2 linked regions of the Notamacropus eugenii genome follow. The protein of the gene in region 1 interacts with the protein of each later gene in a biochemical or structural test. Links are inferred from orthologs where the notes say so. Each region holds a gene or a part of one and is shown in the gene's direction. Other genes may lie near its edges.

Evidence for each region.
Region 2: the proteins of CFTR (region 1) and NHERF1 form a complex in vitro, tested with the Homo sapiens proteins (9 studies listed by BioGRID and IntAct, with this or other methods). The link is inferred for Notamacropus eugenii from reciprocal best matches to the Homo sapiens genes CFTR and NHERF1.

The regions. Positions count from the first base shown.
Region 1 is NC_092874.1:135,437,266-135,441,009, reverse strand, and holds the start of CFTR (cystic fibrosis transmembrane conductance regulator), read left to right. Parts: upstream 1-876; 5' UTR 877-1,713; intron 1,714-1,949; exon of another isoform or gene 1,950-2,101; 5' UTR 2,102-2,127; coding exon 2,128-2,180; intron 2,181-3,744. UniProt on the Homo sapiens protein: Epithelial ion channel that plays an important role in the regulation of epithelial ion and water transport and fluid homeostasis. Mediates the transport of chloride ions across the cell membrane.
Region 2 is NC_092873.1:340,487,850-340,491,593, forward strand, and holds the start of NHERF1 (Na(+)/H(+) exchange regulatory cofactor NHE-RF1), read left to right. Parts: upstream 1-1,359; 5' UTR 1,360-1,577; coding exon 1,578-2,042; intron 2,043-3,744. UniProt on the Homo sapiens protein: Scaffold protein that connects plasma membrane proteins with members of the ezrin/moesin/radixin family and thereby helps to link them to the actin cytoskeleton and to regulate their surface expression. Necessary for recycling of internalized ADRB2.

The DNA.
Region 1 (3,744 bases):
TCTTTGTATTCAGAGTGCCTACCATAATACATTTTAATGTAGTATTGGGAGTGATGCATGTTTGTTGAAATTGGTCTCTTTTATTTCTTCTACTTAGTCAACTTCTATGAATCTCTTTTGAATCAATATTCCTAATTCCTTTATTATCACTTGCTCCTTGGCAGCCAAGAGGAACTGTATACTTGTCGGTTTTGAAACTTGTGCAGTACACATGGTGGGTCACACTTAGTTGTAAAGTAAACAGCCAGAGAGGGTGAAAAGGGCATTTAATGAGCCCAATTGACATACCTGGGAAAAGTAAATAGTAAAAATATAGCTTCAAAGTTTATGTCCAGGAACTCTTACTGGAGGGAGGGAAAGCCTGCTTGAGAAGTTTAGCAAGGGAATAGGAGTCAGAAATATTGACCCCATTTTTGTCTCCGCTGCTGATTTGGTGTCTGACTTTATATGAATATTAATCTGTTATTTTCCCAGCTGGCAAAAAAATACAATGATACTCCTTTGTAAAAACACTTTAAGATTTAAGAAGAAAAAGGGTATTATTGAAATGTAAACCATGCATTCATTATTTTAAATACATATGACTAATTCCTTCACTGGCATTATACAATGAAGATTATAGCCATACTTCACTGGGATATATGTAAATCAACAATCCAATAATTTCAAAGTAAACAAATTTGCTGAAGAAACAACACAAATAATACTCAACAAACTTTCTCCCATTCCAATTTGTTCAACTCAAATGTCAGTGCGTACCTTTTTTTTTTTTTTTAACAATACCTTTGGAGAATTTACCAAAGGTGTGCTTGGCACTTTAAAAAAAATTTATAAAAGGAAGGAAGAAAGAAAGACAAGGAAAGGAACTCACGCATCAGAACTCAAGGCAGTACAATGCTTTCGAGAACTTCCTAAAAGTGAAGAATTGTGATTTCTTCCATGTATTTTTTTTCTTTCAGGATCCCTGGCAAAGTTGTGCCGAGTTTGCGCTTCAAAGACGTTTGATTGCTTTCAGGGTCAGTCAGGTTTTGCTTACAGAAAGTGAACTGAGAAATCTGACGGAGGACAGGTACGTTTACCTAGTGCAGTGAGTAACCGTGGATATGGAGAGAGACTGCCAACCAAGGCTGCTGGAAACTGACGAGCCATGAACAGATCTGAGGGGGGGGCAACAGAACCAAATCTACACCTACTTCGGAGGAGGATTTTCCTTTTTAAATAAGCAATTTTTCCAAATTGGGTTGCTAAAGACTTTTGAATCTTCCCTTGAAAGTCTGAAGCAAAAAAAGGCTCGTTTTTTTTTTTTTTTTTTGGTAAAGAAACTCATTAACATCAACACACCAAACACCCCCACAGGAACCTTTCAGCTCCATAAGCCTGCATTTTAGAACAGGTAGAGACCTATTTTTGTGGCTTTTTTTTTTTTCCAAAATGCACCACGATTAATAATAATTGGCAAAGGATTTTAGAGAAGAGGAAGAGGAGGAGTAGGAGGAGAGGCAGGTAGAAGCCTAGGGAAACTGGCAAGTAACCTGTCCTTAGTACCAAGGAAACTGGGCGAGTAAGAGTGCTCTACAAGTTTTCCCAAGCGACTGATTATTTGCCCTAACTTTGCTTCGTATTGCCCCCGGGAGCTTCGGAGAGAAGGGGGAAGACGCAGAGAATGTGCCAAGATCTCGGACTGCACTGGAGGTGCAAGGTAGCGAAGAAGAGGTAATTCTCGGTCTGGGAAAGAGCCCGCTGGGGGCAAGGGAGGCGGAGTAGAGAATTAGGGGGCGGGAAAGGCGGGAGGCTCAGAAGCCACTAGAGAAAGGGGAAGTGTGGAGTGGGGTGGGGAAAAAGCAGCCGGGGCGAATGTGAAGCTGGACTGCCTGTGGCTCGCCTTTTAACCTGGGCATCCGGGGAGGAGGAGGGGAAAGGGGAAAGAGGTGTAAGGGGGCTGGCAAGGAGAGAGATGGGTGGGGGGAGTCTGTAGGAGGTGGTACATGACATCACAGCAACCCAAGTGAATAAGGTGGGGAGAGAGAAGGCAGCAGGAACAGAGTGGACTGGGTCGGAGAGTTTGGCAATTAAGAGTCACCACTGCAGTCTACTCCTGCAGGGCACCCCGGCAGCCCCCGAGGGATCATGCAGAGATCACCCCTGGAACAGGCAAATGTCCTCTCGAAACTTTTCTTCAGGTAAACGTCTTGCTAGTCATCCGTGGTAATGACATGTGCCTGAGGGAAGAGGGGAGTGTGCAGGTTTGTACCAGGGGTTTGGGTCTAAAGGCATTGTTTTTTAATTTGTTTATTGTGAAGTATAACCTTTGAGTGTTTCTCTAAGAAAGGTTCATTTTTCTACCTAGAGACAGCTGAAATGAGAAGGGAGATTAAAAAAAACAACGTGAAAGCAGGCTAGCAGAAATGCATGTGTATTGAGAACAGTTAGGTGAGCTCCCCTAGTTGCAAGACCCTATAAACCTGGGTTTCCTAACTATCTCTCTCTCTGTGTTTCTCTCTCTGTCTCTGTCTCTCTCTCTCTGTCTCTGTCTCTGTCTCTGTCTCTCTCTCTTTCTCTCTGTCTCTCTGTCTCTCTCTCTTGGATCCATTTCGCAGTCTGGTGAAGCTTATGGACCTGTTCTCAAATTAAGATTTTTGAATAATTTAAGGAAATGTTATTCATATACATTAGTGAAATTAAAGATGTAATTATTTTCCTATCCAAGTTCATGGATCTGAAATCTATCTATGGCCCTTTTTTAACTGTTTTTAATAATGCAGTATCTGTTAGAAGCTAAAATTCAAAGGAGCTACTTAAACACTGACTTACCCTATGGTTAGCGTCTTTGATTTTTCCAAAGGAAAGTTATTTACCAAGTGGTTAATAACTAATGATTAAGATATTTCTCCTTTACATATTTAGAGATTTCAAAAACTCCCATATCTATTTTGTTGCAAATGCAGCTAAGACATTGTGTACTGCCATTTGAGGAAGAATATTGAATTAAACACATCTTTTTTTGATGGTGATGAGGAGGAAAACTTTTCTTTGACAGAGGAAATTCTGTTTGCCTCAAAGTACATTTGTCTTTTGAATAATGAAAGAAAATTATTCCAGTTTCTAACATGGGGAAAGCTTAGTTATGCTACTCATGAATTGGAGAAGAGTTCATTGTTTCCATGGAAACAGGAACGGGCAGAGCAATATACTGAATTGTAGGTATATCCAACTAATATTTAATAAATTATTCTTTTGTTCTTGTGTGTGAGATAAGCTATGAAAGTTGGAAGTATCATTTAGTAAGGGTTTTTAATGCTAAGTTTTAGGTTTATAGTCTTAGAGTTTAACTAAATAGCTCTATTTCAGATGAAAAGTACTTCTAAGATGGATGTTCAGTTGCTCTCTTTCATTTTCACTTTTTCCTCAATGAAATAATAAATACAACTACTTTGATGGAAGTTATCTTACTCAATTTTCCAAAACCTTTTATTCAAACATTAACAGAATTTGATAACCAAAAGCAAATCAAATATGAATGTATATCTATATATAGTACTTAGTGTATATGTGTATATATGTGTGAATATGCATTTTAGAGGGGGGAATGTTTATTCTCATATCCACCTTGTATCACCCTTCCTAATATTTAATTTTATGTATGTGTCAGGGGAATTTTAAATGAGGGCAAACCACTGAAGGAGAGCTCCCTCCTGTGGATGTGAGAGCAGGTTTTTACTTTTAATATCACCTTTTTCTGTTATT
Region 2 (3,744 bases), on another chromosome or scaffold:
TGTGTGTTTTTCAGAATTAAACTGCAGTATTTTGGAGAGTATATCAAGTCCCACGAATTCCTTGAAGAGGGTTTGGTGGGAGGCAGTGGGCTCTACCTCTTCCTCCTGGGGATATGAAGCTAACTAGGCAGATTGCATGGGGAAAATCCAGAGGCCAGGGCCAGGCTTTTCCCCCTTTTCCTCATGATTCCAAGAAGTCCCAGGAAGCTGCTGACAACAAGGCCAAGGGAATGGATACTTCAGATAGTCCTGGCAACCTGGCTGGCATCAGGATTAAAGATTCCCCAAGAGGGCAATGGGTAATGTACCTGTAGGGGAAAGTGTGCTTTTTTTTGCCCCAGGTCATTTTTCCTGTGGAATCAGCTTTGGGAATTTTGTCTAACCTGGCTATAATCCAAGCTGTGTTTGGCTCTACCTCGAATTCACTTATTTCTTCAGACTATCATCTTGATCCTTAACAGGCCCCATCAGATCACATCACTACCTCCTCCCTCCCCTTTCCCCTTGTCAGATTAGATGAGAGATCCATTCCTCAACCTAGCAATCTCCGTTTTCTCGGCGGGAAAAACCACATTACCCTCTGGGCTCCTTTTCCCTTGGAGAAGTACCTGGGTTGGGGGAGAGGGGGGATTAGCTTCCCCCTCCCCCGCCCCAGAAGAATTTAGGCCGGTGCCTACACACACACACACACACACACACACACACACACACACACGCATTGTGGTTCCAAAAAGCTTCGGTAACTTAAAGGATGTCGTTATTTAAACATCTCTAGGGAGGAAGAAGTGGGTGGCTAGGCCATGTGTCCTTAGTACTAAAGTTTTCTGAGAGTTTGCTGTCCCTGGAAGGGAAAGCGATTTGTCCATAGAGGTGGCCTTCCGATTCACCGCACTAATCTCACAATCTGATACAAACTACACCCAAGGCCAAACCTGAACACCCTTTTCCCGGGACTTTCAGCGTCCCAGGTTCCAGCCTCTCCCCTAGCTGCAGGTCGGCCGCAATAGCCGCAGTCCTTCGAAACCATTCATCAGGGACCAGGAGCCAGGCTTCCGAGATCCGGAATCCAGCTGAGGCAGATGCGTCGGCGCTGCTAAGGGAGCCCAGCTGTGATTCCTTCCCTCCAACTCCAGATGCCACACCTTCCACCCCCGCCTAGCTGAAGCTTTGTAAAGCACCTCTCTAGCACTTTTTCCTCCGCCCGGCTCGGAGTGCCAATTAGCAACCCCCCCCCGCCCCTTCCACGTCCCCATTGGCTCGCTTTGTTCAACCAGCTAGAGCACCCCCCCACCCCCTTTCTCCGCCGGTTCCTAATTGGGCCGGAGCCGCCCCTCCTCCGGGATAAGGGGCTGTGACAGGTTCTGAAAAGCTCAGACCCTGGGCGGCCCTGGCCTTGGTCCCTTCCCTTTACTTCGGAACTCAGAGGAGTTCCTCCCCCGATACCTCTTCCCTCCTCCCGAGCCGGGGACTCCTCGCCGCGTTTCATCCCGGATCCCCGCCTCCTAGGGCAGGGGGGTGGGAGGGGGTGATTGGTGAACCGGCCCCATCCGCAAGCCGCCGAGCTGCTCCGGAGCGAGATGAGCGCAGACGGCGACTCCGGGAGCCCCCTGCCCCGGCTCTGTAACCTGGAGAAGGGGCCGAATGGCTACGGCTTCCACCTCCACGGCGAGAAGGGCAAAGTGGGACAGTTCATCCGGCTTGTGGAGCCGGGCTCGCCGGCCGAAAAGGCGGGACTGCTGGCCGGGGACCGGGTGGTGGAGGTGAACGGCGAGAACGTGGAGCAGGAGAGTCACCAGCAGGTGGTGAGCCGCATCCGAGCGGCGCTCAGCTCCGTGCGCCTGCTGGTGGTCGACCCGGACACGGACGAGCGCCTGCAGAAGCTCGGCATCCCGGTGCGGGAAGAACTGCTGCGCGGCCAGCCCGGGGAGCGGCCAGCCGAGCCTGCCCCGCAGAGGGCCGCGGAGGAGCGGGAGGAGCGAGGCGAGCAGCAGCAGCCCGGAGCGGCCGGGGAGCCGCGGGAAGAGAAGAGCCCACCCGAACAGGTAACTCACTCCTCGCGGGTCTGGGATTCCAAAGGGGGAGGGGAAAGGAGGTTCGGGGAGGCCCCCTGGGGTCTTTGGCGTAGAGCCGCGTGCCGTAGCCCCCAGTTCGCCGCTGTTTTCGTTCTGAAGCCAAAGCCCGCGTATAGGGAGGCTGTTTCCGCTGCTGCTGGCCCGGCGGACGCGTGTCTCTCAGCAGATTGTCCCTGCTCCTGTCCCCTCGCCCCCACCCTGGTCCCGTCTGAAGCAGACCGGCTGCCGCCTCTTTCTTAGGGAAGTTGATGAGGTCGGCTCCTTTTCAAGCACAAACCTATGTCCGCTGCCCCACTCCCCATCTGTTCTCTAACAGGGAGCCCCCCACCCCCCAGCTGCAACCGAAAGAGTGGAGGGGTGGAAGCCTGTTTTCAGCGGGGAACAGGCGCTGTCACTGCCCCCTCGCGTGCGTGTGTGTCTGTCTGTCTGTGTCTGTGTGTGTGTTGGCCCTGAGCCTCCTCTCTGCAGCCACAGGTGGGTGGGAACTGGAGTTCAGGGATGCCTGGAGAGTCCAGCAGAGACTGCAAGAGCGAGCTAGAGGAATATACATCCTCATCCTGTCCCCCAAAAGGAGCCACAGTCGCGTGTGTGTGTGTGTGTGTGTGTGTGTGTGTGTGTGTGTGTGTGTGTGTGTGTGTGTGTGTGTGTGTGTGTGTGTGTGTGTGTGTGTATGTGTGTGTGTGTGTCTGTGTGTCTGTGTGTCTGTGTGTCTGTGTGTGTGTGTAGAACCGGGGGGGGGGGCAATATAGAGAAAAGGGGGAAATTGGAAAAGGTTGTTTTGTTTCTTTTAACCTTTAGGAGAGAGTAGGGGGGAGCGTAACTTGTGTATCATTAACCTCAGTCAGGTTGGACTTCATCTCTCCCGAAGTATGAGGCAGCTTCTAAGAAAGAAGGAACAAACCCCACTTCCTTGGGGCAGGAAGGGATTGGAACGGGGCAGAGGCCAAAGATGGGGGTGGGGAAGAGGAGAAAAGAAGTGAGGCTCCAGGGTAGCGATACAGCCACCGAAGAGGATTTATGAGTCTTAGGAATGTGAGAAGTAAGCAGAAGTCTTTATCTGGGAAGCTTGGGAAAAGAGGCTTGGAGGGGACCTGGTGAAGGGAAAGTGGGGGATTTCCCAGGGCAAACAAGCTGGGATAATTTGCTGCTTTTTCCATGTTTGGTGTTTCCCCAAATGATCCCAATTTGGATCAGCTGGTGGAGGATGGGGGCTGGAGAAATATAGAGTTGTTGTTCTGAGTTATCTGTCCCCTGAGATTATGGGAGATTTTAGAGTCAGGAAGGGGTGGGTCCCTGGCCTTGCTGAATTCCAGGGGCTCAGTGCTGGTGCCCAGCCTAGGAGGAACAGAACCTAGGTCCTCAGCATTTGGTCTCCCAGAAAATTGGACTGCTAACTTGCAACCAGATGGTTTCCTGCTGGCTAATGTGGACAGTGCTGGCACTAGAGACTGAGCAGAGCTCAGAGTGGAGGAAGGGCACCGTGCAGGGAGACTGGGGGCAGGGTGGAGAGGGCCAACAGGTTAGGTCGCCAGGAACCTTTTCCTGGATTTAGCTGGGTGCTGGGAACACCATCCTCCACCTCCACAGGCTCTTACTTCCTGTCTGTGCCAGGTTGGCTCTGCTGAAGGCACATGTTCAGGGAAGGGAGGGCAGGAGCGAGACTCAAGTTGGT